2 linked regions of the Elephas maximus indicus genome follow. The protein of the gene in region 2 purifies or fractionates together with the protein of the main gene of each other region. This does not show direct contact. Links are inferred from orthologs where the notes say so. Each region holds a gene or a part of one and is shown on either strand. Other genes may lie near its edges.

Evidence for each region.
Region 1: the proteins of MICALL2 (region 2) and RAB8A purify together in Homo sapiens (co-immunoprecipitation; 3 studies listed by BioGRID and IntAct, with this or other methods). This does not show direct contact. The link is inferred for Elephas maximus indicus from reciprocal best matches to the Homo sapiens genes MICALL2 and RAB8A.

Annotation. Positions count from the first base shown.
Region 1 is NC_064821.1:36,339,388-36,355,164, reverse strand, and holds the start of RAB8A (ras-related protein Rab-8A), read right to left. Parts: upstream 7,543-15,777; 5' UTR 7,509-7,542; coding exon 7,385-7,508; intron 1,699-7,384; coding exon 1,638-1,698; intron 1-1,637. Other genes in the region: TPM4 (tropomyosin alpha-4 chain), read right to left, coding at 13,558-13,640. UniProt on the Homo sapiens protein: The small GTPases Rab are key regulators of intracellular membrane trafficking, from the formation of transport vesicles to their fusion with membranes.
Region 2 is NC_064830.1:95,785,281-95,800,907, forward strand, and holds the start of MICALL2 (MICAL-like protein 2), read right to left. Parts: upstream 7,256-15,627; 5' UTR 7,031-7,255; coding exon 6,888-7,030; intron 4,622-6,887; exon of another isoform or gene 3,905-4,621; intron 2,271-3,904; exon of another isoform or gene 2,070-2,270; intron 1,912-2,069; exon of another isoform or gene 1,651-1,911; coding exon of another isoform or gene 1,604-1,650; intron 1-1,603. UniProt on the Homo sapiens protein: Effector of small Rab GTPases which is involved in junctional complexes assembly through the regulation of cell adhesion molecules transport to the plasma membrane and actin cytoskeleton reorganization.

The sequences.
Region 1 (15,777 bases), on a different chromosome or scaffold from region 2:
CTGCGATGGTGCGCCTTTGGACTTGGGCACAAAGGCTGCTGGGGAGCCAGCGTGTCAAGAAGTGGAGGAACATCCACAGCTGCTAACGCCCACACTGGCGAGCAGCCAACTGACTGCCCAGGGTGGGGGATGGACAAGGCATTAGACCTCTTCCAGATCTGGGATCTGAGGTCAGCTTCAAAAGTGAATGTTACCGGGAGTTGAGGTGACAGCTGAGACTTGTGGGCACGCCATTCCCAGTTCTGGCACCTGCCTGGCCTATAGGGACTGTGCCATACTCCCAGACATCACTTCTCCTTATCACACTGCTCATAGTGGGGCGCTGGGCAAGGTATATAGATGCAGGGCCTGACTCCCCTGTGATTGACCATGTGGAATCAGTCTGCACGGTGCAGCGGGTGGCGGACCAGAGCCAGTACCAGTAAAGGGAACTCTGAGACTCAGGTCTTGCCTCGTGTTATTAGGGCCCAGGAAGTCGTTCTCGAGCTCTGATGAATAGAAACAGGTCTTGGTACCAGGCCTAGCTTCAGCTTAATTTCAATTCCGGAATTTCAGGTCAGCCTGCTAGGAAGCGAGGCCTGGGCTTCCCCAGGAGAGAAAAGAGGATGTGATGTCAAACCTCCCTCAGCAAGCTGACGGGGCTAGGAGGGAACTCCTGGGCTGGGGCCTGTTATGGGTTGAATTCGGTCCCCACCTCCAAAATGTTTGTTAAACTCCTAACCCTGGTACATATTATTATGACCCTATTTGGGAGCCCCTGGGTGGTGCAAACGGTTAAGTGCTCAGCCGCAAACTGAAATGTTGGCAATTCAAGTCCACCCAGAGGTAGCCTGGAAGAAAGGCCTGGCAATCTACTTCTGAAAAATCAGCCACTGAAAACCTTAATGAAGCACAGTTATACTATGGCATACACGAGGTCACTGTGAGTAGGAGTCTACTCAAGGGAAACTGGTTTTAGAAATAGGGTTTTCTTTTGTTTTGTTAATGAGGTTATGCCAGCGTAGGGTATGTCCTAAAACTAATTACTTCTGTGTGGTGTCTTATAAGCAGAGCGGAATAGACACAAGACACACACAGGTGGAAGACAGATGCCATGTGAGGACCCATCTACAAGCCGAAGAATGGCAAGGAACACCAGGCAGCTACTAGAAGCTGAAGGAGATAAAGAAGGACCTTCCCCTAGAGCTAATGCCCTGAATTCAGACTTGTGTCCTCCAGAACTGAGAGGAAATAAATTCTTGTTCTTTAAAGCCACCCACTTGTGGTACTTCTGTTTTAGCAGCCCCAAGAAACTAAGAAAGGGTGCCTCCCTGCCCTGCAGGCTTCAGGAGCCCCTCTGCCTGGCATGGGGGACACAACCCCAGGTTCAAGGGGAATAGGTCAGCTCTGTGGCCATGGCCCACAGAAGAGCCAGGTTTTACCCAGGATGGAATGCTGAGCTAACCCGGATGGGACAGTCACGTCCTCAGAAGGTGCTGATCCAGAATCTAGAGCACAGCTCCCTGCACTGGGTATGAGACGTGAGGGGTGTCTGAAGATCAAGATCATAGCCACAGGGGCTGGAGCGGGGACACCAGGTGCATCTGGCTTGAAGTGCTTGCCAGACAAAGGGGCCAACAAAGAAACATGGATCTTACCATATCTGCAGTTTGATTCTCTTGCCATCAAGCTCTATGGTTCTGATTTTAAAGTCAATTCCTGAAAGAAAAGGAAAAAGGCACATCATTTTCAGCCATTTCCCAAGCTGTGTCAGAAAGGGTGCTGCTGATCTGGGCAGGTAACATCCCCCCTGGATTCCGGAGCACCTGCCATGGGAGGGGCACTGCTGACCTGGGCAGGTAACAGCCCCCCTGGATTTCAGAGGACCCTTATAGATGGTGGCACTACCAACCCAGGCAGATAACAGCATCCCTAGATTTCAGAGTACCCCCACAGAAGGGGGCATTGCTGGCCAGGGCAGGTAACAACCCCCCAGTGTGCCAACCACAGGAGAGACACTGCCAACCTGGGCAGGTAACAGCCCCTGGAGTGCCTGCCGCAGGTACCAGCTAGGCACTGAACTTATAGACCTAGGAATCCACGCAGGTCTGGAGGCATCTGGAGCTACCTGTTCCTCCACCGGAGGGGAACTCTAGGCTCACAGGGCCAAAAGCCATTGCCCAGAGTGAAGCCTGCAAGTGGCAGGGCTGGCAGCCAAATGCAGGTAGGCTCAATTCCAAAGCTTGGCTTTCTGCCCTCGCTGCTGCCCCTGTGCCTACCTCCCAGCCCGAGGCAGCCGTGCTTAGAGCGGGTTTCAGTAAGAGCCTAGCGTGTAAGCCCTGTGCAGCCCAGAGGTGCCGTCTCTCCACCTTGCCCTCTGAGGTGCTCAGGCCCTTCCTCTCAGCCTTTGCACGTGCTGCTCCTTCTGTGTGGGTGGTCCCACGCCCGTCAGCATGCACACATCTCCTCCTCCAAGGCCTTGGTCAGACCTCAGCTCTCAGGAAGCCTTCCTGGCTCAGCCCTCCTCTCATCCTGGGTACCAGGTTGGATTCCTTTTCACCAGTGTGGCCTCGGCAGCCTCCTAATGTCCCTCCTGTGTCCCTTCAGCTTGCTCCCTACTTCACGGTGAGACCTTCAAAACTATACCTCTAATCTCAGAACAAACCTAACCTCCACTCCAAACCTTCCAGTGCACCCATCACTGGATGGAGGAATAAACACAGTTTGGTTCCTCCACACAACAGGATATTATTTGGCCACAAAAAAGAATGAACCTTGAAAACACGACGCTCAGTGAAAGAAGTCAGACACAAAAGGCACACAGTGTCTGTTCCATTTACATGTAATGTCCAGAACAGGCAAATCCACAGAGCCAGAAAGCAGATTAGTGGTCGCCAGGGGCTGGGGGAGGAGAATGAGTGACTGCTAACATGCACAAGGTTCTCCTTTTGGGGTGATGAGAATGTTCTGGAACTAGACAGAGGTGGTGGCTGTACAACATGGTGAACAGACTAAAAGCCACTGAAGTGTGCACTTTAAAACGGTGACTTGTATGGTATGTGAATTATACCTCAATAAAACTGTTAAAGAAAAAAAAAAAAACCCCACACACAACAAATACCTCCTGACAGCTCCCCCCTTCCAGAATAAAACGCAAACTGTTGCCCTGTCTATGCTGGTGGTCCCTCTGCCCATGGTGCCTTGGCTCCCGCCCCCTGGCTCTTTCCTGAACATTCCAAACCTGCTCCTGCCTAGGGGCTTTTCCACTGGCTCTTCCTTCTCCTGGAATGTTCTTTCCTTCCACAGCTGCCTGGCTTCCCTCAACTCACTCAGGTTCCTGCTGGTCACTGCACTGGGGAGCCTTCCCTGACCAGCCTTGTTCTCTTATCCCTTACCCTGCTTTTAAAGTCCCTGGGCGGTACAAATGGTTTGTGCTCGACTGCTAACTGAAAGGTGGGTGGTTCGAACCCACTCAGTGGCACTGTGGAAGAAAGTCCTGGCAACCTGCTTCTGAAGGATCAGTCTTAAAAACCCTTTGGAGCAGTTCTACTCTGTAACACGTGGAATCATAAGTCAGAATCCACTTGATGGCAACTGGTAACCCTGCTTTTGTTCCGTGCAGCATTTGTAACTCCTTGACATCGTGTATTTGTCTGTTTCATGAACTTGGAGTGGACCTTACCAATCTCCATGGCTTGTGGTGCAGAAATGGTCAAGCCCAGCCACTGCCCACAGAGTGTCCTAACCTCCAGCCTGAGAAGCAAGGCCTTCCTTGACCCTCTAAACCCCACAACGGGGATGTAATTATGTCCTTGTCCTCCTCAGGGGCTGTCCTGGAGACCAAGAGGAAGATCAGCCTAACTGTCCTGACAGGAACATAACCTCTCTGAGGGCAGAGACTCAACATGTCCTCAGCACTGCTGTGTCTCCATGACTAAACCCAATGGCAGGGGCAGAAGAAGGTTCCTGGGTGGTGCAGATGGTTTGTGCTTGACTGCTAACATAAAGGTTGGTGGTTCAAACCCACCCAGTGGTGCTGCAGAAGAAAGGCCTGGTGATCTGCTTCTGTAATGATTATAGCCAAGAAAATCCTACAGGGCAGTTCTACTCTGAAACACATGGGGTCACCATGAATCGGAGCTGACTCGGTGACGTTATTTTTGGGGGGCTGGAGACGTGTTGGAAGCTGCCTGCCCAGTCCTGCATACACACATTGTGACTATAGCCTCATGACATTTCTGCCTCCCTCAATCAATTGCTTCTTCCCTGCAGCCCTGCACTGGGGCAGATGCCTGGTCCACAGTGGGCCTCTGTGAAAGGTGGCAGGATCAAAGAATGACAAGCAACAGGGTCTACGCGATGCTGTTCAGCATAGGACGCACTTTCTCATCAGCCATCCACCTAACAGGAGGAATGATCGGTCCCCAAGGAAGTGTTAGAGGCTGAGCCAGGCAGCTGAGAACTGGCTCCAGGAGCCACAGGGCCAAGTTCCCACCACAAACGATCAGTGGAGCGTATGGGAAGAGATAGGCTTTGGCAAAATGTCATCCAGGCAGAAAATGAACAGGCACTCAATCTCTGATCTACGAGGAAAACCCAGAGGAACAGGCGGTGCCAACACAGGATTGTCTTGGCATGAAGCTGTATTTCAGAGTTCAGCAGCCCAGAGCTGACTCTACCCCAAACCTTCCCCACCTCCTGATGCAGAGAGACAGGGGTCCACGAAAGAAAGCAGCCCTGCCTGATTGGTGGAGCTCTGAGACAACACTCTGCCCCACACTTCTGGGTATTACGAACACACCCCATTTGATTAGGAAGTGTAAACTTTATGAGGCCTAATGATTATGAGGCCATAACTTCAAGGTCGAGCTCAATTAAACTCTCCTAGAAGGTGACCTGGGTGGTGCAAATGGTTAAGTGCTTGACTACTAGCCACAAGGCTGACAGTTTGAGTTCACCCAAAGGCACCCTGGCAGACAGGCTTAGTGATCTACTTCTGAAAGGCTAAAACCAAAAAACCAAACCCAGTGCTGTCAAGTCAATTAAGACTCATAGCAACCCTATAGGATAGGGTAGAACTGCCCCACAGTTTCCAAGGAGTGCCTGGTGGATTCGAACTGACAACCCTTTGGTTAGCAGCCATTAACACTTAACCACTATGCCACCAGGGTTTCCTCTGAAAGGTTACAGCCTTGAAAACCCTACGGAGCAGTTTTACTCTGCACATAGAGGGTTGTCTTGTGTCAACTAACAACAACAAAAGAAGACAGAGGGCTGCAGCAGGCTACAAATGCAATGAACAGAAGACTGGGGCAGGAGGGAGGGGTCCTGGGTTCAACGCCCACTTCCAACTCCCTGTACGACCCTGGGCAAGTTTTCTCCTCTCTCTGGGCCTGGTCTCCTTGTCTGTAAATGGAGGAAGCCAGCCTCCTTGGAGCCCTCAAATGTTTGATTGGGTTTTCTGATCAAAAATTAAAAACCAAATAAAAAAATCTAATGCCGGAATCGAGCTCACCAGCGCTCAAGATTAGCACGATATGGGTTGAGATCAAGCCACAGTCTGCCAGGAGTTAAGGCCACTTCCTGGTTTGGAAGGGAGGCAAGGGCCATCCCAGGGTTTGAACTTGGGGTGGGGGAAGTGGGAGGATTCAGATACACCTGTGCCCCAGGGTGAGATGCTGTCCTTGCAGGAGCCATTCTGCTTCTGCTAGGCAGCCCCTGGCAGTGACAACAATCCCTTAGTCATCATATAATTCTGATCCTTGGCCACCAGGACACTGGCCAAGACGAGGGCACTACCCCTCATGAGAAGAAACAGCTGAGAGAAATCAAGTGGCTTATTCAAGGGCAAACAGCAATAGGACACCAGGTCTGATGGCTTCCAGTCTAATTCTCTCTACCTGACACCTGGTAGAATTCTCACCTTCCACGTGGGAGACCTGCGTTCAATTCTCAACCAATACACCTCGTGCACAGCCAGCACCCATCTGTCAGTGGAGGCTTGTGTGTGGCTATGGTGCTGAACAGGTTCCAGCAGAACTTCTAGACTAAGATAAACTAGGAAGAAAGACTTGGTGATCAACTTCTGAAAGTCAGCTGGTGAAAACCCTATGGATCCCAGTGGTCCAATCTGCAACCAATCATCAGAATGGTGCAGGGCGGGGCAGCATTTCATTCCCGCGTGTGTGAGGTCACTGTGGGTTGGGGCTCACTTGACAGCAGCTAACAGCAACAACCTCAGTTTAGTGACTGTCCCCCACATCCCCACTACCATGCAAAGCTACTTCACTTAATCTGTGCTATTCCCAGTAGAACTTTTTAATGTAAGCAATGAAATTTTTGTGGCACAAAGAGAAGCCAGCTTCACTTTGATGGATGTCAGAGCCAAGATGTAACAGGCCGGTTCTGTTCAACCACCACGTGGGCTGGCTCTGTGGAAAAGGCTGTTTCTCAAAGTGACAACTTGTGTCCTGGGCCTTGCAACAGGGCAGTTAGGGCTGTCTGTGGGAGCGGCTGATTTCAGTTTCTCATTGAGGCTTTTACCTGGCATAACCTTGGTGATGACAGGCTCCAGGGCAGCGGCTGTCACTAGCCATTGCTGTCACTCTTGAGGGATGGAAGGCAGGAAAGTAAAAGCTCCTGATTCCCTGTCATCATTCCTTCTAGAGGAAAACTTACCCAAGGAGGATACAGGGTCAGCCCCTGATCTCTCCAAGGTTAGGAACTGGACAGGTGCAGACTGGGGTCCTGTGCCTGTCCTGCAGGTGCATGCTGGCATCTATTTGGCATGGTTGGGCCTGAGTTTTGAAGTCAGACACTTGAGTCCAAATCTCACCCTCATCACGTACCGACTGTGTGACCTTGGGCAAGTCCTATTCTCTCCCTGAGCCTCAAACTCCTCATCCCAGCAGACGGGGCTCTCAACAGCACCTAACCCAGAGGACAGCAGAGAGGGTGATAACGTGCAAAAAGCGCTTGGCAAAGAGTAAATGGTCAATGAAGTCAGCTGACATGGTCCTTTCACTACAGTTAACTTCCTATGCCTCAGTTTCCATTTCTGTAAGATGGGGACCCCCAAAGAACGGCTTCGAGGGCTGCTGCAAGAACTGAACGCAATGACAGGCGCGAAGACCTCAGCCCAGGGCATACACTCCCCGACGAGCGGGCTGAAGATCGGGGCCTCAGTCTCCTCATCTGCAAAATGGGCACTTGGCTCCCCCCACTGCTCCCAGGGCCCGGGAATCCCCGACGGTGGTGGAGGTGGCTGGTCGTCGTCCCAAGGGCCCCCTCGAGCCTCTAAGAACCCCTAGGGCCGTCCGCCCTGATCTCTCCCTCAGTCCCGGCCCCTCAGGCGAGCGCCCGGCCCGAGCCTCCCGTGCCCCCGGCCGCCCTCCGGCCACGCTACCTATGGTGGAGATGAAGGTGGAGTTGAAGGCGTCCTCGGAGAAGCGGAACAGGACACAGGTCTTCCCCACCCCCGAGTCCCCGATCAGCAGCAGCTTGAACAGGTAATCGTAGGTCTTCGCCATATTACACTCTCTCCCCGACGGGAAGTGCGGCCAGCGCCTCGCCACTGGACGCTCGCCCCGTCCATCAGCGCCGAGCCCGCCCCCCATTGGCTGCCGGCCCACCGTACGTCACCGCGGCCGACGCCCGCACCCGCTCTCAGCCCTGCGCGCGGAGACCAGGGAAGGGGCGAACCGAGCACGGAGCCGGAAGCGGCACGAGCGTGCTGCCCATTGGCCTGTGCTCGGGTCAGAGCGGGCTGCGATTGGCTGGCGGTGCGGAGTTGAGGGGCTTCAAATGGGGAACGGGACGTGGGCGTGGCTCCCATGGTCCAGCTTCTTCCCGACTCTGGGGCGGCCCCGCCTCCCTCCCTTATGGGACAGGGAGGGCGGGAATCGTCGCCAACGGCCCCGCGCGCTGGCAGCCCGGGGGCGGGGGCCTGTGGCGCGTGCGTATGCGTGCTGGGAGACCATTAAGAGCCAGCAGAGGGCGCACGCGCGCAAGGGCGTCTGGTCCCGCCCCGACGGCCTGCGCAGCCTCAGCAGGCTTTGGGGCGAGCGCGGGAGGGAACGGTTCGGGGGGCGTCGTCGTCTCGGGAAAGCAGGGAAACAAGGGGCGTACGTCGCAGTCGGAAAGAGGCCCCTGGAGATCCCAGTGCTGGACGAGGAACCTACCTGAGGCTTCCCGGCCTCTGCCACCTCAGTGGCCTCACTGCCCCAAGCTGCGCCCTCAGGGCCCCTGAGGCTTCTCAGGACCAGCCCTCCGACCTAATTGACCTAATTAGAGGTTTCCTGGTGGTCTAGTGGTTAAGTGCTACGGCTGCTAACCAAAGGTCGGCAACCAGGCGCTCCTTGGAAACTCTACGGGGCAGTTCTACTCTGTCCTCTAGGATCGCTAAGAGTCGGAATCTACTCGACGGCAGTCGGTTTGGCTTGGTTTTTGGTCTGGCAACTCTGCCTCGAGGCCTCAGCCTAGACTCGGCCGCCTGTGCCCAGTCAGCTCTCAGAGCTGCACTTGGGGTGCGGGTGGGTGTGGGAGTGTCTCAAGACCCTCAAGGGCATGAAGGATAATTATAGGTAACATTTATGAGCAGTACTTCCGTGCCTAGCAGTGTTCTCAACGCTTTATGTATTTAACCGCCACACCAACCCATAAGGTAGGTATTGTTTATCCACGTTTTATGGTGAGGAAACTGAGGCCAGGGAGGTTAAGTGACTTTCCCAGGGTCCAAAGTGAGAAGTTGGTTTTTGAATGCAGACCTGTAAGACTCAGAGGCCAAACTTTTTTTTACTATTCGTTAAAATAATTTTATTGTGGTGAAAATATAGGTAACAAGACATACACCGTCTCAACAATTTCTACATGTATATCAGTGACATTTGATTATACTCTTTGAGTTGTACAATCATTCTCAATATCCTTTTTCAGGAGGCCAAGGGGGCAAATGGTTGGCAGTTCGAACCCACTCAGTGGTGCCTTTGAAGACAGGCCTGGCAATCTGCTTCCAAAAGGTCGTGGCCTTGAAAACTCTATGGAGCAGTTCTAACTCTGCACACATGCGATCACCATGAGTCGGAATTGACAGCAACCAGCAAGAAGCTCTTGGTCAATATGGTTTCCTGATTCTCAGAGATTGATGGTCCCAACTGCGTGCTTGGGCTCAGGGCCTCACATCACTTGCTGGAGCACACAGAGAAGCCTGGAGACTCGCCTGAGGATTTTCCAGAAGATGGCCCCAGCTTCTCCTACTCCCTTCCACCCCAGCTTATTCATCTGCTAATTAGTTCTGGTCAAGAAACACTTCAGCCAGAGCCATTGACCTTCACAGGCCTTACCCTCTGTGGTATTTTTATACTATTGACCACCTTCCCTCTGGAAATTCTCTTTCTTGACACCTCATTTCTCCTACCACCTACCTCCCTTTCTTGGGTACTGCGTCTCATTCCATTGCAGTCTTTTTTGGAGGTCTCTGCTTGTCCCTGAGCAGTGCAAATGGTGAACATGCTTGGCTGCAAACAAAGTTTAGAGGTTCCATTCCCCCGCTCCAAGGCATCTCAGAAGAAAAGCCTGGTGACCTAGTTCTAAAAAATCAACCATTGAAAACTGTCTGGAGCATAGTTCTATTCTGACACACGTGGAGTTGCCATGAGTCTGAGTTGACTCAATGGCAACTAGCAACTTCTTGTTCCTTAAGTGTCGGTGTTCCACATGGTTCTTTCTGTCCTAAGTCCTTTCTTCCAGTATCTCCACACTATTTCTCGGTTCTTTACCCATAGTCCAGTCATGCTTGCATGTCCGAGTGGGTTTGCCAAAGATAGTTTAAACTTAACATGTCCACAACTGAGCTCATCTTCCACTTAGGTGAGGGCAGTGGTGGTTCAGTGGTAGAATTCTCGCTACGTGGGAGACCCAAATTTGATGCCTGACCAATGCCCCTCAGGTGCAGCCACCACCCATCTGTCAGCGGAGGCTTGCATGTTGCTATGATGCTGAACAGGTTTCAGTGGAGCTTCCAGACTCAGATGGACTAGGAAGAAGTCCTGGTGATCTGCCTCCAAAAATCAGCCCATGAAAATCCTATGGATCACGATGGTCTGATCTGAAACGGATCATGGGGGGTGGCGTAGGACCAGGCGGTGTTTTATTCTGTTGTGCTTGGATCATTGACTTGATGGCAGACAACAACTTCCACTCAGACATGCGTGTCTTGAATTACCTTCTGTGAAACCTAAGTCTCTGACATCTTTCACCCCTTGCATCCTGGAGCTTCTAAATAGCTCTTGAATTTTGCTCTTCCATTTCCATTTGTTACAGTCAGGTCCTTATATTTCTCCACTGGTCTTCCTGCTCATTTTCTCTAATCCAGCCTCCACCCTGTAGAATGTTCACTTTAAAACACTTACCTTATTACATCCATCCCTTGCTTAAAATCCTTCAGAGAGCCCCCAGCAGCATAACACCCCAGTCTTTAACCTAGCGTACACCCCACATAATCTAGTCTTCACCTCACCCTGTGATTCACCGATACCTCATGGGGTTGGGAACTCCCCAAGAGCTGAGCTGAGACAGGTTAAAGAAGCGTGGATCGCTTAAGCCAAGTGCTGAGGCATGAGGATGACCAAAACAGTATCCTGAGATTACAGCCTAAGTGGGTGGCAAGAAGGGAGAAAACAGACACGTAAGGGGTAACTTCAGTCCTAACAATGGTAGCACACATAGAGAAGGGGGTTATACTTTATTCAGTGATATTCCCAGCAAACAAGAGCCTGTTGCCGTCGAGTAGATTCCAGTTTGTGGCAACACCATGAGTGAAACTGAGCTCCATGGCTTTTTTTTTGGTGGTCGTAACCTTTACAGAAGCGGATCACCAGGCCTTCTGTGGCGCTGCTGGGTGGGTTCAAATCACTAGCCTTTTGGTTAGCACCTGAGCACAAACCATCTATCTGTGCCACCCAGGCAACGGACAGTGTTAGATAAATGTCAAATTAATATGTTTTTAATTGTAGTTGTTAACAGAAACCTGTTTGCATATGCACTTAATTTTTTCGTCTTTCACTTCTCTTTTTGATCCCTCCTCCACCTGCCCTCCCCTGAAATAACCCGTTGTGGTTGAGTCAGTTCCTACTCATAGAAACCCTACAGGACAGACTAGAACATGGGGTTTCCAAGGCTGTAAATCTTTAAGGAAGCAGACAGGCTGGTGAGTTCGAACCGCTGATCTTCCAGTAAGCAGCTGAGTGCTTTAACCACTGCACTACCAGGGCTCCTTCCCCCAAAATAAAGGGACTGCAATTCAGGCAGTGAAACTGGAGTCATCTTGGACACTCCAAGTTCCGTCAGCTCACTCTTGAGGTTGCTTCCTTCAGATCGTCTCTTTCCTCCCGTTCCTTGGCAACCACTGTCCTTATCCTGGTCTTCTTGCCTCTAGTCTGCCACACCCTTCCCATTGTTGTTGGGTGTCATGAAGTCAATTCCGACTCATGTCATGGTGACAGAGTAGAACTGCCCCATAGGGTTTTCTTGGCTGTAATCTTTTATGGAAGCAGATTGCCAGGTTTTTTCCTCCTGCGGAGCAGCTGGTTGGATTCGGAGCAGCTGGTTGGATTCGAACCGCCAATCTTTTGTTTAGCAGCTGAGCTGTTTGCATCACTAAGGCTTCTTACCCCCCCTTAAAACCCAAAAAAGCCCCAAACCCGTTGCCTTCAAGAGTCGATTTTGACATCCTTTCTTAAAATGAATGCTAAATGGATTTTCCTAATGCAGTACTTAGTCTTCCGTGGCTCTGCACTCTAGACCAAATTAAGTTAAATCTAGGCTTTCATCAGTCTGGACCCAGCCTATCCAGCTTTCTTATTTCTGCAACACACAGAAGGTCTTAACCAAACAGGTCCTGTGCTTTCCTGACTCAGGTTACGTGGGCCATCTTCCCTGCTCCTATCACCATCTATTAAAATTCTACTCATTCTTGATAGCCTGGTTCAGGCAAGATTGGGGATAACTAAGAACAGGAGCTTTTGTGTTACTGAGACAAAGTGCTCTCATCTGTAATATGAAGAACATAATTGTTGAATCATGAAGTCATGATATAAAGCCAGTAAAATTTGCTAAGTTCTTGGCACAGTTACCTTCCCATCAATTGACCAAATATTGAGAAGCAAAGTTGCTGGTATGGGCCCACACATTCTAAAACTGACACAAGTTGTAGTTTATGTAAAAATTTATTTGACCAAAATGTAGAAAAAGAGATACTATTACATATGATACAGTTGCAAGAATCTAAATGAAAAGTGTGGGTTTTATTCAATTGCACAATTTGCTAGTGTGTCTCCTGGTAGTGTGATGCTTAATAAATAGGAGTGAAGGGGAGGGGTTGTGGATAAGCTAGAAGCAGGGTGATTTTGTCCAGAATTGTAAACTTGAGTTGGCCCCCACGCTGCTGGGGAATGTGGAATGTTTGAGCTCTGAGATGTTAACTGAGAAAGCAGAAATATAACAAAGCCAATATGTGCAGCCCTGTCTACAAAATACTCCATTATCCAGTTTAATCAGGAGTTTCTTGGTCTTTTATTAACTTGGTCCCGAAGAAGGAAATGAAGTCCTAAATCAGTAAATCTTCCATCTGCCATTCCCTGAAGTATGGAGGAGATGAAGTTGGGCCAATTATTTTTTCATCTCTACTTTGCTGCCATAGAGGCCCCTTCTGCCCAATGTTTGTTAATAGAAAAATCTCTTTGGTCTCTTTGGTCCAATTTATTGGTGGCTAGCAGTCTTCTGACATGGCAGCCTTGGGCAGGACTGAACACCATATCATTCCTGCTGAGTAGATGGCCTCATATCACAGCAGACAAGCATGGAATAAGACATCTTCTCAAAGGCCAACTTTAGAATGAAAGAAACATGTAGAAGAGCATAACATCAAGGATTGTCCAGCAAACATTTGCATTGTTACTATGACTATTTCCCAAGCATTCTCATGCTGACTACTCAGAGGATGTTTGCCCGGTGGAGTGTGGAAAAGGGCCAAGATGATTAGGCTAATCTGTCTGCGGTTTATGACTTCCCACTACAGTCCCTTTTTTTTTTTTTGGCTCTGGATGGAAAATCCCCACCCATATTAAGTGATGGTCCCTGGCCTCCTGTAGTGTGATCAGTGGTGGCCCAGAAGGCTTTATTCTTGAGCCTTTTAAATCAACTCATGACTAGATATTCGAGTCTGTGTTCTTGAAAGTGTGGGGTCGTCTATTCTCCCAGGAGCCAAATGCCCTCATCTGAAGAGAGTATTTTTTTTTTTTAGAGTATGCTCAATATAAAATACCCTGTCTATCTTAGAAGTAAATGCAACTTAAGGATAAAAATAGAGCTGAAAAAGCTGGTGCCATTTGAAAAAAGGGAAGGAATCAGATTGAACTGGTGCTCAAAGCTTCTCTGATACAAAATATTTGGTCATGTATTCCTAATTTGCTCAACATTTCCAGCAAAGAGAAGATGCAGTAACAAAAGAAACTTCTTAAAAGAGAAGAGAAAGATACGGAGCTCTGGAATTTCTGTTGGAACAAAACTCTTCTGTTTTGGTTATATACAGTTAAGTTCGTTTAGTGTCTGATCCAGTGTCTGATGTAAGCCCACGTTCTCTTCTTTGGCCTGGGCAAGTTTTTCTGGTGAGGATTAAGAGTGAAGAGAAAAAGAAATTAGTACCATTGTTAAACATCTTTGTTTCCTTTAACAAATTGTTAAGGGGTGGGGGGCGGGGGGAAGTGTCTAAACCGCAAACTGCCAGAGTGAAAGCCATACCAGAGGAAATACTTTGAATTTTAATTACAACAGCACACCATGGAATACTAGGCAGGGACCACGTACCAAAATTTGGGAGTAAGAAGCGTTGTCAGATAAAATACAGGGCACTTGGAAACCCTGGTGGCATAATGGTGAAGTGCTGTATGGCTGTAACCAAAAGGTCGGCAGTTCCAATCCACCAGGCGCTCCTTGGAAACTCTATGAGGCGGTTCTGCTCTGTCTTATAGGGTTGCTATGAGTCAGAACCAACTTGACAGTAACGGGTTTGGTTTTGGTTTTTCGGTTAAATTTGAATTTCAGATAAACAACAAATAATTTTTTAGTATGCCTCAAATGTTGCCTGAGACACACCAAAAATTACTTATCAACTATCTGAAATTCAAATTTTATTCGGTGTCCTAATTTTTTGTTTTAGTTTGCTAAATTTGGCAACTGTAGAGTCAACACCTGGATTTAAGCCTAACTTATCTAAGCTTTCTAGGTCTCAGTTTTCCCATCTGTCATGGGGTTATGGGGTTTATTATGAGGCACACATGGGAAATGTGGTGCTAGGAGGTGCTGCACAAACTTAGGATTTTAGTCCTAGATATGGGCGATTTAATATTCCCCTTGTTGTTGGGTGCCGTCGAGTCGATTCTGACTAATAGCGCCCCATGTGATAAGAGTAGAACTGCCCCATTGAGTTTCCTAGGCTGTATGCTTTATGGGAACAGATTGCCAGGTCTTTTCTCCCATGGGAGAACTGGTGGGTTAAGCTGAGTGCTTAACCACTGCACCACCAGGGCTCCTTAGATATTCCCCTAGTGCTAGTCAATTTATCCTCAAGCCTTTGATAGGAAAATACACTCCTATAACCCATCTTTCCTGTGGAGTTTCTGGGAACGGTTGGTTGAATTCCAGTCAAAATTGTGTTATCGTGTCTGTGTATGCAGCGCCTTGTAGTCAAACCCCACGTAAATGCAACGTGATAGAGACTTAAACTAGACTATGGCCAGTGGCTCTGCAGGAGAAAGGCCTGGCAAACTGCTTCTGTAAAGATTACAGCCAAGAAAACCCATGGAACGGTTCTATTCCGTCACACGGGGTCGCAATGAGTTGGAATCTACTCGACAGCAATGGATTTTTTTTTTTTTTTTTAAAGTGGGCATGTTATTAAGTGACCGAGCTGATGAAATAAAACACAAACAAAAGTAAAATGCCAACTAGCGCTACGCGTGACAGAGCACAAGAGAACTGGTTTGTAAATGAGTGACAAGGGACTGAGCCACGATTGATTAAAATACTGGAGGAAAGCAAAATGCCTCGTAAGATAGGAGATGATCAACCAGGAAATTTTCAGAAGGAAAAAAAAAAGTCAATGCAGAGAATGGCAGCCTTTCTACTGTGACTGCTGACCCTTTCACTTGACATGGCACTTAAAAAAAACCTAAGCGACCATGATCTGGAAGCAGTCCATCACAGGAAGAACACTGGCCTGGGTTTACCCAGTCTGGATGGACAAATTTTAATCGAGTGCCTAATATGTGTGAGCCAATTTCTCCATCATCTCATTTAATCCTCACGATAACTGAGATATCGCCTGTATTTTGCAGAAAAGCTAAGGCTACACAAGATACAATGACGTGTGGAGCTAGGATCCAAACCCGGGCTTCCTGACTACAAATCCTGCCCTCATTTCCCCTTGCCACCCAAATCCTGGCATCTACTTCGTTCTTTGTTGTTGTTAGCTGCTATCAAGTCAACTGACTCCTGGTGACCCCACGTGTGTCAGAGTAGAACAGTACTCCTTTTGGAAGCAGATCGCCAGTCCTGTCTTCTGAGGTGCCTCTGTGTGGGTTTAAACCACCAGCCTTTCAGCTAGTCCAGTGCTTAACTGCACCACCCAGGGACTCCATCTGAAATAAAATAACTTTCCCTTAAAGTGTTAACTGCTCTTGTGAGTTGTCAACAGGTAGGAGCAGAACTCCACAGCACTAATCTCTGCAAATGAAGTTCCAC
Region 2 (15,627 bases):
AGATGGTAGCCTGTGCTGGGGGCCTTGCTCGACAAAAGTGCCCCTCTTGGCACCAGCTTCGCCCTACTCTGGGAGCAGCTGCCCCTCGGTGGGTACCCAGAATGAGATGTGGAGGGCCACTGCCACCTACCACCCCAGGTGGGCTGGGACCCAGGGCTGCCTTTGGGAGTTGAAATCTTCATCATTTGATATCAGGTCCATTCTGGTACCACTCCAAGGTACCAACAATGGTACAGGACAATGGGTTTCTCTTTTTATATGGCCTTTTAGGCCATGGTCTTGTAACTCCTACAAAATGATTAGGTGGGGTTATGCAAATAAGGTACCTGCGGCCCACCAAGGGGATTGGTCAGTTTTGCCATCACTAGGCTTAAAAAGAGCTAATGCCAGAGGAGCTGGGAGCAGGGTGTGTCCTTTGGACCCAGGGTCCCTGTGCTGAGAACCTCCTAGATCCAGGAGTCAAAAGGCTGTAACACTGGAGACTGCACAGGACCAGCAGACAGCTGCAGTGGGCTCACCTACTCACAGAGTGAGCGTGCCGAGCACCTTCAGGCAGGCGGCTTGCTGGAGGAGTGAGATGCTTCCGGGTACTTGTTATCAGAGCTAAAAAGCTACAACTTGTCTGAACAGTGCAGAGGCCAAGAGTGAGGCCTGCCTGCCAGCGGGAATGGTGGAGAAGGAGCTGAGAATTTAGAAGCTGTCCTGATTGGCGAACTGTATCCTGTCTCCTGAGTTGTTCCCGTTACTTCCAAGTCAATCCTGATCCCAGGTTGTAACCTATTACTTCCCTAACAAACCCCATAATCGTGAGTGTGGTCTGTGAGTTCCGTGTGGCCAGTGCAATCCATTATTGAACTCAGCAAGAAGTAGGGAGTGCCATGCGGAGGATGGCTGGTGTCAGAATTCATAAAATAAATAAAACGTTGGAGAGTGGAGATACGTCTGACCTCCACCTCCTAGGAATCAGCCTTGGGCTGGCCTAGATTTTCCCCTCTCCCCCTTGAAGTTGTATGAGGTCTGACACCACCATATGACAGATGGGGCCAGGCACACAGGTGGCACTCTATAAACGCTGGTAGAGGAACTGGTCCATCTGATGTGTGCTGAGAGAGGGAACTTTTGCAGGACTGGTTTATTCTTTCAACACTGGCTGAATGAATGAATTCACTGGGTCTCTGTCAGTCAGAAACTCTGGTGGTGCAGTGGTTAAGAGCTACGGCTGCTAACTAAAAGATCGGCAGATCAAATGCTCAGGCATTCCTCGGCAACCTTACGGGGCAGCTCTATTCTGTTCCTACAGGGTTGCTATGAGTCGGAAGCAACTCGATAGCAGTGGGTTTTTTGGTGTTCTTGGTATATGTCAGTCAGAGACCCTGGGTGGTGCACACAGTGAACACACTCAGCTGCTAACTGAAAAGTTGGAGATTTGAGTCCACCCAGAGGCGCCTCAGAAGAAAGGCCTGGCAATCTGCTTCTGAAAACCCTATAGAACCCCGTTCTACTCTGACACACATGAGATCATCACGAGTTGGGGTCAACTTCACAGCGACTGGGTTTTTATGACAGCGGTGGAACATCGGTGCTCCAGGGGTCGAATTCTCACCTTCTGTGCTGGAGACCCGGGTTCAATTCCCGGCCAGTGCAACCCATGCACAGCCACCACCCATCTGTCACTGGAGGCTTGTGTGTTGCTGTGATGCTGAACAGGTTTCAGCAGAGCTTCCAGGTTAAGACGGACTAGGAAGAAAGGCCTGGGGATCCACTTCTGAAAATCAGCCAGTGAAAACCCTGTGGATCACAACAGTGCTGAACCCCACCTCCAGAACTGACCACGGGGATGGCACAGGACCAGGCGGCATTTAATTCTGTTGCGCGCAGGGTCACCACGAGTTGGGGCCAACTCCACCGCAGCTAAGAACAATGCATGTCAATGGTCAAATGTTTGCTGTGACCGTCCCTGCCACCTCCCACCAGGGCACAACTGACCCATGACCACAGGCCCCAGTTTGCTGACCCAGCGCCTCTGGGCACTTGGGGATGGACGTCCCCTAAATTCCTGGAGCACTGACCACATGACGCTTCTTTCCTGGAACCAGAGGCAGCCCCGCCAGGGATGGATGCTGGGGGATGGGCAGCAAGGAGGAAAAGTCTTCCTTCCAGGCACATCTGGAGTTAATCCCACTGGGAAGGGAAGTGAGAGGGAAGAGGGAGGGAGGCAGAGGCAGACAGACACACAGAGACACTGAGAGACAGAGAGACTAGGAGAGAGGCTGAGAGACACAAACAGAATGAGATGGAGAGACAACAAATCAGAGATCAAGAGGAAGGGAGAGAGAGACAGAGAGAGGGAGAGAGAGAGACACAGAGACACAGGGAGACAGAAACACACAAAACAGACACAGTTACCAAAGAGTTACCAAATAGCAGAGACACACCAGAGAGACCAACCCAGACAGATGAGATCTAGAGATACCCAAGAACAAGCAGTTCCAGGAATCAGACCCAGAGGGCAGACCTGGGAGAGAGGCAGCAGCACTGGGGAACAGGGGAGAACACTGGGGGGCTGGGGCCAGGGAGCAGTGCGGGGGCAACGGGAGGAGCAGGCAACAGGAGGTGCCTTAGGCATGGGCAGGAAGGAAAGGATCTGGGAAGGGACAGGGCTGGGTTCCCGGGACCCCTTCTTGCACCCCATGGACAGAGGCGATACCGTGCCCTCCCTCCCCTCCAGTAGGAACAGACCCTGCCTGCTCCCACCCAGAGCTGCCTCCTCCCAGCTAGAGCAGGGCCTAGCCTTGGGGTCCTGCCATGGGGTCCTGCCCTGGGGCTTTGGTCAGGGTGGTGGGGGCACCGAGCTCTGGAAGCCCCCCTCAGTTCTGGACTGTCCCGAGTCCAGGGCTGCCTGCCCCCTCCCCCTCCTTGGCCTGCTCTGGCTAGAAGGCACAGGCAGGGGTCTGGGCAGCTGGCCCTCGGGCCCAGAACAGAAGGCCTCTGTCCCCTGGCAACTCCTGCTGACCGCCAGGCCTGAAAGGGAGGTGAGGTCAGCCTGCTCAGTGGCCCACCCTCTGCTCTGGCCCTGGAAGGGACACAAAGCTGCCTCTGAGCATGGTGGGAGGGACTCCTGTGTGAGCCTTTCTCTGACTTCAAACAACAGGTGAGTCTTGGGGGCCCCTGCCATAGTTGGGGGGATACCCCTGCCTTCTGCAGACCTCCAGGGCTGTGAAAGATCTCAGAGAGAGTTCGGGTCACCCCTCCATGTGCCTGGGGGAGGGGGCCCAAGTCACACAGCATGTTTGCAGCTGAACCCCAGCTTCCTGACACCCCACCCAGTACCCTCCCACAACTCACCCCTCTTTCTTGAAACATCTCCAGGGAAGGAAGCCCACAAAGCTCCTCTGGGGTTCTTCCCAGCCCAGCACCCAGACCCTGCACCCCCTGCTCCCTCGCTCACTCCATTCCAGACTCCCCACCCCTGTCACATTCCCCTGCTGCCCCAGGAGCTGGAGGGGCATCTGGGAACCCCGGCACCCCAGGTAGGGCTGCCAGCCTGGCCACACTGCAGGGAGCCAGCTCAGCCCAACTGGTTTACAAGGAAGGCAAAGAGGGTGGGGCTGTTTGTTCAGGTAGTGCCAGGCTCAACTAGCTGCCGGGCAGCAGCGGCTGGCGTCATCGTGGAGCGGGCCCTGTGGGCAGATTGTGCCTGCTGGGGAGTGTGGGTAGGGTCCGCCCATCCAGAACCTTCCAGGCCTCCTGCAGAGAGCCTACAGCACCTGGGATGGGGCAGGGACCAGGTGGGCACTGGGCAGGTGGCTAGAGGAGGGGTTGGGCTGGGGGGTAAGTGGCAAGCCCTTAGCTCCTCCTCCTTGCTGGGTGTCCCTGGGTGAGCTAAACGGAGGCCCATGCGCACCTCACAGGGTCCTTGCGGGGTTAACCAATGCAGGTCATGTGTGCTGCGGGGCAGGGACACGGTGATGGTGAACTCCCAGGTCTCCCAGTTGGCATGGGGCCGTATCTTTAAGCCCCAGCAATTGCAGGAGCTCGGAACTGGGAGAAAGTGATAGAGGAACTCAAGAGTCTCTACCTGGCTGGTCTGGCACCTGAGCAGAGCCCTCTTCACAGCTGCTCTTGGGCTCTAAGAGGAAATGGGCTTAGCATGCAGCAGGAAGGGTTTATATTAGACAATGGGAAGGACTTCCTGGTGGCAAAACTAGGAGATAGTGAGACAGGATGTTCATGTCCAGAGGGTCCTTTCGAAAAAGGAAGAGAGGGGAGGAGAGGGAGCGTTGGGGGCACGGGGATCTCACCCAGCCCAAGGTTGAACCCAAAGTCTGACCTTGGGGGGGTTCCTCTGAGAGGACAGCCACCCTGTGCTTGTCCTTCTCAGATGATCCCTACCTCTCCTGGCAGCTGCTAGGGCCAGTGGGGCAGCTCAGGGGCTTTGAGGCTGGGGCTTTGGAGACATGCATGGAGGGACCCCTACCCTTGCCGCCACCTTGCCCATAGGCATGCAGGGGCCAGAATGGAAGCTTCCCTGTAGAGTGTGTGTGTAGGGGGGGCACCAAGGCACAGATACAGGCACAAAGGTGCTCAGGCTTATATACATGTGTTCACACCCCACACATGCACACACACTGATCACACTCATGGTAGTCTCTCAGCCAACACCCCCAAACCCCTACCACACAACAACACCTCTGAGCCCCTACCTCACACTGGCACCCCCGAGCTCCTACCTCACACTGAGCCCCAAGCTGCTACCTCACACCCACACCCCAAACCCCTACTTCACACCAACACCCCCCAGCCCCTACTTCACACTGACACCCCAAGACCCTAACTCGCACCAACACCCTGACCCCCTGCCTCATGACACCCCAAACCCCTACCTCACGCTGACCCCCAAACTGCTACCTCACACCCACACCCCAAACCCCTACCTTACACCGATAGCCCCAAACCTCTACCTCACACTGACACCCCTGAACCTCTACCTCACACCGACACCCCAAGCCCCCGCATATCTACTGCACCCCAACCATGTCCCATTATCTATAGTGCTCCAACTACATGCTGGTATCTGTCAATCATCTCCCCCTCTGGGGGGAATGTTCGACAATCCTGTTTGCAACGAATAAGTCACCCCCATACCCATTTGCGTGCGGGCAGTTGGCCTCATCTTCCTACAGCTCCCTCCTGTCCTAGCCCTCACCACTGCCGGGAGTCACCTTACGTTTTTATCCATTCACCTGTCCACTGTCTGAATCTACAGCTAGAATGTCATCCCCACGGGCCGGGGCCAAGAGGGTCTTGTTCAGTACCCCATGTAGGGGTACACAGTAGGCCCTCCCTAACAGTTGGTCCAATGTGTGCATGCCCATGTGCATGCCCCCAGTGTGCTGCCACGCTGGGGCAGCCACACACATACTCCTGGAGTTCTGACCCCCAGCACAGTGGGACCAGATGGGAGTCCTCCAGGGGCAGAAAGGCCCCACATCTCAGGGTACACTGACCCTCCCCCAGGAGTCTGCTGGGGCTCAGTCACCAGCCAGCCCCACCCAGGACCCTGCACCAACCCCAGGCGGTGCTTGTTACCAACCAGCCTCTGTGCTCCAGGTCCCTCTCCCTCACCCCCATGTCTCTGGCTCACCCCGCATCAAAGCTTGGCGTGGAGCTTTTGATGCGAAGCTCATTCTGCAACAGCGTCTTCTCTTTCTCCAAGGGCAGGAGAGGCCAGATTCCCAGGCAAAGCAGAGGCCACTGCCCAAGTGCCACATGGAGACTTCCCAGGAAAGCATTTCACAACCTCAGGGCAGGAGCCCAGGGCTGGAGGAGAAATGACAAGAGGCCTCGTTCTGCAAGACTAGCTTCCTTGTAGAGAGTGGTGCCCCAGGACAGCCCCCGGGTGCAGGGGAAGGGCCCTGAGCAAGGAGTTCTCCTTGCTGGGCCGCAGTTTCTCCATCTGTACAGCAAGGGGCCTGACTGAGGCTGGTCATCTGGAAGGGGCTGCCTGAGGCCTCCCCACCCAGTGCACATCTCTCCCCACCCCTGGATCCAGCCAAAATTTCTCTAGGGAGGGCTCTTAAACGTCACGTCATCTTTCTTCCAGAAGGTGGCTGGGCTGTGGGTGGGCATCTGAGGATCCCCCTTCCTGAGCATCCAGACACCTAACACAGGCGTATTGCCTCAGCTGCTAAACCATTGTGAATTCAAACACCGCAGGGCACCAGGTCCCAGGCACTCATCCACAGAGTGTTTGTTGAGTGAATAACAGACTGAGCCAGTTCAGAGTCAGGCAGGACCCTCCTGGGGGAAGATAGCCTGGCCTCCCTTCCCCACCCACCTCCTCTGGCTCCCAAGGGTGGGAGCCCAGCCACCATCTCCTCACCACCACCTGAAGGTGCAGAGGCCGGGGGGGCTTCCTGCTCTGCATCAGGCTCCACAGTGACCCAAAGCTGCATTCTCAAAGGTGCCTGGAGGGACCGGGGAGGCAGGGTACCCACCTTTGAAGCTCCAAGTGACCCTGGAACAATCAGAGGTTTCTGGGGGCCTCGAGGGCAGCCCTGTGGCCCTTTTAGGGAAGAGGCAGGGAGAAAGGGATGGCTGAGGCCAGAGCCCAGGACACTGGCCTGAGTCACAGGCTGACTAACGCCCGCGGGGGAGGGAGGAGAGTTCCTAGCTCTGGCCTCAGCTCCACCTGGCCACGGACAAACTGAGACAGAGGGGGCAGCCCGCAGGGCTGAACTGTTTCCACTCCGTGGGCCTGGAACAAGTATGGGCCTCAGTTTCCCCATCTGTGTTGGCAAGAGCGCCGCCCTGTGCAGAAGTCGTGGGGCCGGGCCGCTGGCTGGGTCAAAGGGCGCCCCTGCGGGGTAGAGGGGACCGGCACTCACATGAGGTCGGGCCGGTGGCGATGCAGGATGGCGCAGAAGGCCAGGCCGTCCCGGAACGAGGTGGTCATGTTGGTGATGTTCACGTCCCGGTAGCCCTCGCACTGCTGCCGGCACCACTGCTGCAGCGCCTTGATGGCGGCCATGCGGGCGGCGGCGCGCCGGCCGGCGGAACCGGGCTCGGGCTGCGCTGAGAAACTCCCCTCGCCGCTTCCCCGGACCGCGCGGGACGGGACACCCGGCTCGGCCCGCCCGGCGCGCGGACCCGGCCGGCCCACAGACTGACGAACCGAAGGACGCGGCTAACCTCGGCGGCTGAGCTCGGACAGAGTTGGCAGGAGGAAGAGGATCAGCGGCCGCCCGGCCGGACCCAGAACACGGGCCAGGCCCCGCCCCGCCGGCCCCGCCCCCGATCGGCCCCGCCTTGGTACCGCCCCTGTCCCCCTGGGCCACGCCCACGACACAGACTGCCCTCCAGTCTCGACCCCGCAGCCCAGGCCCCCCCGCGGCCCGGGACCCAACCTGCCCACTAGACCGCACCCCCGTCGCCTAGACCCCTCCCCCTCCCAGCCGGCCACGCCCAGGGCCCGCCTCTACCCTCTTGGCTACGGCCCTGCCCGGGACCCCAACCTGCCCGCCGGTCACGCCCCCAAGAGCTCAGGCCGCGCCCACTACCAGGTTCCCGCCTCTGCCTGCCTGGGTCACGCCCCAGGCTGGGAACCTGTCGCTCCCAGATCGTGGACTCAGCCTACCAGCCAGGCCTCGCCCCCAGTCCATCAACCACGCCCATTTGGCCACGCCCCCACATCTCCGGTCACGCCCCCACCGGGCCACCCGCGGTCCCAGTCAGGGCCCGGGGTCCGCGCGGTGCAGGGAATGGGCTCAGTCCTTGGGGATTCTAGTCAGGCTGCCCCTGCTCCCTGCTTTTCTTTCTTTTCAATGCTGCATCCCTTACCTCACCGCCATCATGGAGAAGCGGAAGGGAAGTCCAGTTTACAGATGGGGAAACTGAGGTTCAAATACACGTGACCTGCTTGGGGTCACATAGCTAAGAAATGGTGGAGCTGAGCCAGGCCAGCCCTGGGCAGCTGGACTGCCTGGGGAGGCTCCTGGGGCGGCCAGGACCGCAGCTTGCATTTTAGTCTTCAAAGGGCCTTCTGGCCTGGTCTGTTCCTGCCAGAGCCCACCCTGTGTTTAGCGGGGAGGGGGGGGCGTCATTCCGGGTGGGGCCCAAGGTCCAAACCGTGTCTCCACTCTTGGAGGCCTGTCCACTCCAGCTGGTTCCAGGGCAGGGGATTTCCCAGGGATTCAAGTAATTTTTTCTGTTCTCCAATTTTCAGCTTTCGTCATCTGTGCTGCCAGTAATTAGGAAAAGTAACTCTGGGACGGCCCTAAGTGATCTAGGGGGGGCAGTTCCTACCCCCATTCTTCCAGTGGGACTCGTCTGTGGCACATGAGCTGGACCAAGCCGGAAATACTGAGACCTGAGAGGTAAAAGGGCCCCCCCTTCCCCAACCCCACCCCTACCACAGGGCTTGTCCAAACAGCACCCAATGGGATCCGCCCCAACTGGCAGGCAGCAGGAAGGTGTTTTCCCACAAATGGCCCTGGAGGGAGACAGGGCCAGCTTCTCTGCCCATTTGAAGGAGCAGAAGACTGAGGCTGGGACCTCAGTGTGGACATTTTGACCACCCCATAGCATGGATCAGGCCTGTGTGTAATGGTGAGCTCCCCGTTCCAGGGGGTATGCAAGCAGGTACCAGACAGAGAGCCCCATGACCAAGGATGGCTGCTGGCCATGGCTCAGGACTTGCCAGCGGGTCCCCAGTAGGGGACAAAGGGCGATTTTGTGCCAGCTCACCAGAGGCTGGCGGGGGAACCAGGTTTTCTTAACCCCAGGTCAGCAATTAGAGCCAGAAAAGCCAGTGTAAGAGAGGGAAAGGGCAAGAGCGGTAAGGTGTCAGGCTGGGGGCACAGGGGTGGAGAGGGGAGCAGGGGCTGGAGACCCTCCTCTGAAGGAACACAGTGGGAGATGACTAAGTTCTGACTTATAAGCACTGAGCTTTACTCCTGAAACCCACTCGTCCCCCCCATTTCACCATAGGGCCCCTCTGGTGACAGTGACCTGGGAGCAAGTGTGTCCGGCAGTTCCCTGGGGCCACCAAAGATGTCCCTACCACACATTTCTGTCCTTCCCTCATTTCCCTCCTTTCTAACCAGTAACCAAGTGCCCTGAAGTTAACTCCAGCTCCTGCCGACCTCGTGTGTGTCAGAGTGAAACTGTGCTCCACAGGGGTTTCAGTGGCTGCCTTTTTGGAAGTAGATCACCAGGCCTTTCTTCTGAGGTACCTCTGGGTGGAGTTGAACCTCCAAACTTCCGGTTAGCAGCGAGTGTGTTACCCATTTGCACCACCTAGGGATTCCCTCTCCTGTCTGGGAGTTCTAGCCAGGACCAGGAGACCCCCATGCCCCCCTGCCCACCACTGCTGCCCTCCATCCAGACCACCGTCACCCTGCCCCTGACCACTGCTCCAGCCTCCCCAGGGTCCCTCCTGCTCTTCCAGCCACCACAGTCCTCAGATCTTTCTAGAAAGCAGACCTGACCAAACCCCATCGCTGCTCATAACCTCCTTGGCTGCCCTCTGAATAAAGTCCAGTCTCCTTATCACGCCTCCAGGGCCTCGTGGGCCAGCTGGCCCCTGCATATTGTTCCTGCCAGCCCTGGCCTCTCTCTGCCCGCACCCTCTGCCGGGTGCAGCCCCCCACCCCCACCCTGCCCTCCCCACCCCCTCAGAGCCTCTGCTCAGGCCAATCCTTCCACCTGCCCCACCCAGTACCACTTCCCCTCACCCTCCAAGACACCACCAGGGGGCACCTGGGAGCCACTGAAGCCACGCAGGATCCCCACCCAACTACTCCATCCACCCCAGGCTCCCATTCAGGCCTCACCCCTTGCCCAGAGAACTGCATCTGGGGGCCTCCCCAGCAACCCGGACAGACTTGACACCTCCTCCCTGTCTGTCCACCTTGCTGAGAGTTTGCTGAGTGGTGGGTGTTGCTCCAAGCAGTGGCTGAGGGGTGGGGCCCACCTGGGCATCAACCACACTTGTTTCCGTGTGAGACCCTGATCCCCACCTGTCCTCTCCCCAGATGGGTGCCCGGCACCCACACTCGCCAGCTTCTTGTTCCAACTGCTGCAGTCTGGGATCAAAACAGCTATGGGGACCCCACTTTAGAGAGGAATCTGGTGTCAAGAAGATGTAGGTACATCCACTCAACTACCTTCCCTTCTCGGCCTTGGTTTCCTCACCGGCAAGGGTGTCATACCCCCCCTTGACAGTCACCCTAGGGCAGGCATACAGTAAACTAAAAAACCAAACCAGCTGCCGTGGAGTTGACTCCAACTCATGGTGATCCCATGCATGTCACAGTAGAACTGTGCTCCATAGGGTTTTCAATGGCTGATTTTTTGGAAGTAGGGTGCCAGGCCTTTTTTCTAAGGTGCCTCTGGGTAGACTCGAACCTCCAACCTTTCAGTTAGCAGCCAAGCACTTAGCTGTTTGCACCAACTAGGGACTCCTAGGCACACACACAGTGAGCACTCAATAAATCCAACTTCACACAATCACACTTGGACCCAAAGGGCTGGGGGGCAGGTGATTGCTGTGTGAGCAGGACAGGTCTGGGAGGGGGTTCCAGCCCCCAGGCCCTTGAGGATGTTTCCAGACCCCAACCGGAGACCCAGAGAGAGGATTCGGTGGCGGGGGGGGGGAGGAGTGTCATCATTTTTCTGGTTATCAAAGCAGCACACACTTAATTGTTGAAAATTCAGCCACAAAAAGTGAAAAAAAGAAAAGGAAAATCCCTGTTGTATGTTCGTTAGGTCTCAACACAAGATACTTGATGAAAAAGTCAGCTGCTGGGACAGTGGGGCCTGTTCCAGCAGCTGATGTAGATGACACACACAGACACCCCCCAAATATAAAACAGTACCTGTGATAGGTACCCAGTAACCAGGAGACAGTAATTAGGGACCTCCGTCTTGGGGCAATTCTTGCAAGCCAGAGATGGCTTCCTGGGGAGGGGATACCAGGATTGAGACCTGAGGGTGAGAATTAAGTGGTCAGAGGGAAAAATGCCCTTCTCAAGCAGAGGGGCTGGCACAAGCAAAGACCCTGCAGCAGGGATAAACGCACCCACAGCGCTCGAGGAACTGAGGCTGGTGGAGTGGGACCTGCATCCCAGAGAATTGGGGTGGGGGGCAGGGTGCAGTCGGAGGAAAGGTCAGGGAGGGAAGCAGGGCCCAGCCAGGCCCTCTTCCTTGCCTCTCCCACAATTTCACACCCACTTTCTCATTTCTCACAACTGCCCCTTAAACTGGGGTGACTCTATCTATTCTGCAGATAAAGAAGCCGAGGTTCAGAGACGAGAGGGGACTACCTGGTCAGCCAGGCAGGACTGGGCACTGAGGAGCCCCTGCCCTGAGCCGGGGTGGGGTTGGGGGGCCAAGGAGCAGGGTCGGCTGGGGTGGACTCATGCCAAGTGGCCGCCCCTATCTGGGGCAGGACTCCAGGCCACCTGGCCTCAGTTGGCCCACTTCATGCTACAACAGCCCATGTCCCCACCCTTTCAGTGTGGGTGGAGGGGGCCCTCTCTCAGGGAGCAAGGGTGGTGCTGGGGGACCAGGGAGGGACAGGTCACTGGTTTTAATCCAAAGCCAGTTTGGAGGACAGCTGAGCTCCCGGAGGCCATGTTGGTGGTCCGGCACCTAGGAGGGTGGCAGTGGGGACTGGGCACCGTGCCTTAGAGGGGCTGGGAGGAGGGGTCTGTAAACCCTTCAGCAGGCGATTCAGCCCCAATTCACTGATCTGTTCAGGGCCGATGGGTTGAGCTGGTGTCCCATGTCCGGAGCTCCCTGGAGGCCAGTGAGGCGAAACCAGGACATGGGATAGTGGAGAGGGAGAGAATTAAGGGGTGTCTCGCCCGGCGCAGTGTTTCCCGAGGGACTTCACAGAGCTGGCGCCACACTATTATGGTTCCCAAACTAGCCTGCCCGCAGAACCCTCGTTTCTGGAGAGTCTCATCAAAGCGGTGTTCCACAGAACATACTTTGGGAACCCTGGCTTGAACAGCAGGGCAGAGTTTGGAGTCAGATGGGTGGGAGTCCTCTCTATTGTCTTGTTGAAGGAAACTCCCTTGAGTCTTTCACATCACGGTCTTAACACGGGGTCCCTCGTCTTGGAAGTGTTTAAGGGAGGAGGGGAGCAGGGTTGACATAGCCTCCCCAGGTGCTGGAGGTGAGCTCAGGGAAGGGAGAGAACAGAGCCCACCAAGTGGATGCTGGTGGGTCACGGGCTTCACAGCCTGAACTCCTCTAGAGACCACTCCTGCCAGACTCCCCAGGCCATGGTCAGAAAGCGCTCCATCCTGTGGCCCGGGAAGGCGAAGCCACCCCCCATCCCCAGGTGGGAAGGGGAGCCTAGAAGTTGAACCACCCCATTTTAAGGGGCCACCCACGAATTAACTAGGCCCAGTTAATACCATGGGCATAGGAACAGTGGGCTGTAGGTAGATGGCATACGTTCTCCTCTGGATACCACTGCACAAATAATTCCCGATCCCACTCCTGTCCTGGGCTCTGGAGAAGGTGGCCATGTGTTGGGGGGCTGTTGGGTAGCTTCCCGGAGCCAGGTCTTACACCTCATTACAAATGGCGTTGCTGGGCATGCCAGCAACTTCGACATCCCACCCACTTTATTATTAATGGCTTTCCTGAACTGTAGCAGCCCGGTGTCGCGCACAATGTGTTATAAATATTTGATCCGGCATCCATAGTCAGCCATTTATCATTTATAACGGGTTACAAAAACATTATAAAACATTTACCGCACGTTTATACATCATTTTCGGCTCCTGCGACGATGTGTGATAAATACATTATTAATCCTCCTCATGCCGTTTATAGGAACCCCTGGTAACAGGGACCAGCCCCTCCACGCTCCCTGGCAAACAGTAAACAGGGGCAAGTGGGCAAGAGGCCTAGCCTGCTGTGCATCCCCTCTCTGGCCAGCATCTCTCTGGACCAGTTCCCCCTTCCAAAAGAGAGAGCTAGTGAAGGAGCCCATTTGTCAGAGGCTTTGCACACAGCCCTCACAGCTACCTGGAGGGCCTGGCGTCTATGCCCACTTTACAGGCAAAGACTCAGGGTTGGAGAGGCAAGGTGACTTGCCCAAGGCCCATGCCAGGAAGTGGGTAAGCTGGTGTCAGAGCCTGTGGGTCTGCCTGCACCCCAGTGCTAACCACCTGGGGAGGTGGAGGGTCAGACAAGGGCACCCAGCCCTTAAAGAGAGCAAGGGTGAAGTCCAGAGGGAGTGCAGTCAGAGATAAAGGGAGGGAGGATCCATGGTGGGAAGATTCACGGTGGGTGCCAGGAGACTCGGTGCAAGGACCCCACTGTGACCTCTGACCCCAGCAGGCCACTGGGCTCCTGCAACCACACTGTCATCCCTAAGGCCCTCCTGGCTGGGGATCTGCTGCGTGGGCTTCTAGGGGTTCCAGCTGAATGCTAACGGGGCACAAAGCAGGACTGAGGGCCACTGAAGGCCCCCCAGCTCCAACTCAGCCTCAGTGTCCCCAGGAGGCTGACATAGCTGCCACCCAGGTGTGCAGAGCTGGTGGGTCAGCGAGCAGGTACGTCCCAGGTGAGCAGGGAACTGACACCCCTGGGACTGCTATCCCTTCTTTCTGAGATGGTTGGGGGCCTGGACCCCCAGTCCCGCCCTCATCCAGCTTCTCTCCCCAAGGCCAGGGGACCTTCTAAGGTGGGGCATGGCCTCTCCCAGGACCCCACTCCCACCTAAGTGGCCAGAACCAAATGGCCCACTGGGCAACCCCCTGCATGTACTGGGCCCTGTGCACCTCACTGAGCCCTGTGGTCCCCTCCAGGCCAGCTCTGCACCAAAAGGGAACTCTGCGGGGTCTGGGCTGCAGAATTGCCCCACCATGGGATGGCAGGGTCGAGCAGGCAGATGCTGCACCCCAGCCCCCATCTGCAAGTTGATGAGTTCAAAGGCTGCTCCGGGACAACTTATTATTCATCCTTCAAGATCCATCCACCCCAGGCAGAGCTGACGCCTCTCATGTCCCAGGTGTAGGCCTCATGGGACCCAGGCTTTGGGTCTCCTGGGGTTCAGCCTGGCCCTGGGAAGGTACCCTCTGAGGGCCTGGGAACCTCACCAGGGCTTTCCCAGGGGGCCACCTGCCCAGAAAGGAAAGGTATAGCAGTCCCAGGGAGCCTCACCCTCCTCCCCCACTGGCCTGGGACATACCTGGGCCAGGCTGTTCTAGGCTCTCAGGACCCCCGAGCCCACCCAGTGCCCCGGCCCCCTGGGACCTGGAGCAACCATCTGGGTGTGTCTTCATCTGTGAAACTGCGCCATGGGCCTGGCCTCCTGGGGTGGAATTTGGTGAATGCAGGAACCCCAGGACCCAGGCTGCCCTTCTCAGCCCAGCCACCTGGCCACCTTCGGTCCTGCCTATCTGCAAGTTAGGGCGTGTCCCTTCTCGGATCTGGAAATTAAAGCTGCACGCCTTGTCAGGAGGCCGTGAGGAAGCCAGTGTGCTCACCACTACCATAGCAGGCCCTCCCCCTGCCCCACCACTCTGTAAAGGAAGCACACCCCTTGGGCCCTGCCCAGCCTTGGCACAGGCTTCCCTGGCTCCTCCTCTCCCAGAACCAACGCCCAAGGGGCCGAGGGGCAGGGCCCTGTGGAGCAGAGTGATGGGGAGCTCATTATCACACCAGAACATGCTGACCTGATGCCCACACAGTAAGGCAGGGTGGGGTAGGCCTGCCACTGTATGGTGTCCTTCCTGACTCCCACGCTGAGAGCCCGGTGGCACTCAGGGCCTAGGGATGTCCCAAGGCTGTTATGCAGCCCTGGGTGGGGTGGCACCATGGTGCTGTGAGGGGACACAGCACAACGGGGGTTTTCCGAGCCCGGCAGTTCCCGGCAACCACTCAGTGTCCCACATCATGGGGCAGGGTGGAGATAGGAGGCTCCCCTCATTGGACAGGTGGAGGCGGGAGGTCCCCTTCCTTCTGTCATGGGGTTGGGTGGAGACAGGTGCCCCCCCCGGGGCAGAGTATAGGAGGGTGCAGAGGGACTATCTAGTGATGGCTCCCCAGCCGCAGGTCCCCCCTGGCCTGGTCTCTGGGCCTGTGCTGCCTTTGGAGACTCCAGAGAGGATAGAGTAGACAGGCGAGTGGGGATGGGGCACCCCTGTAGCATCTGGACCCCCCCACCCCCTTTTCCTGACCTGCTGCATGTCCTGGCTCTCTGGTTCCACATCCTGGGGGCTTGACCATCTCTAAGAACCTTCTGGCCTCACTGCAGCCCTCACCCCACCTCTTTAGCTGCAGTGCCCCCTGGAGGTTCCAATAAGAAACTTCCGTTCTCGCCCCACCTCTCTTTGGCTGCAGCACCCCCTGGTGGCTCCAGTAACCCAGCCCCAGCAGGAGCAAGCCACAACACTACCTGGGAAGCACAGGGGCCTGAGCCTTCGGTGACCTCTGGGCAATAACCTGGACGATGGGGCACTTGCAGGCAGGGCTGGGTGCAGAGCACTGTCACTGCTGGAAGGGTGGACCTGAGTCTGCCCATCACCCCTCAGACCCCACAAAGCCTCTGGCTGTGTACCGAGCACAGAGGGGAGCCCTGGGTGGTGGTCGTCGCACCTGCAG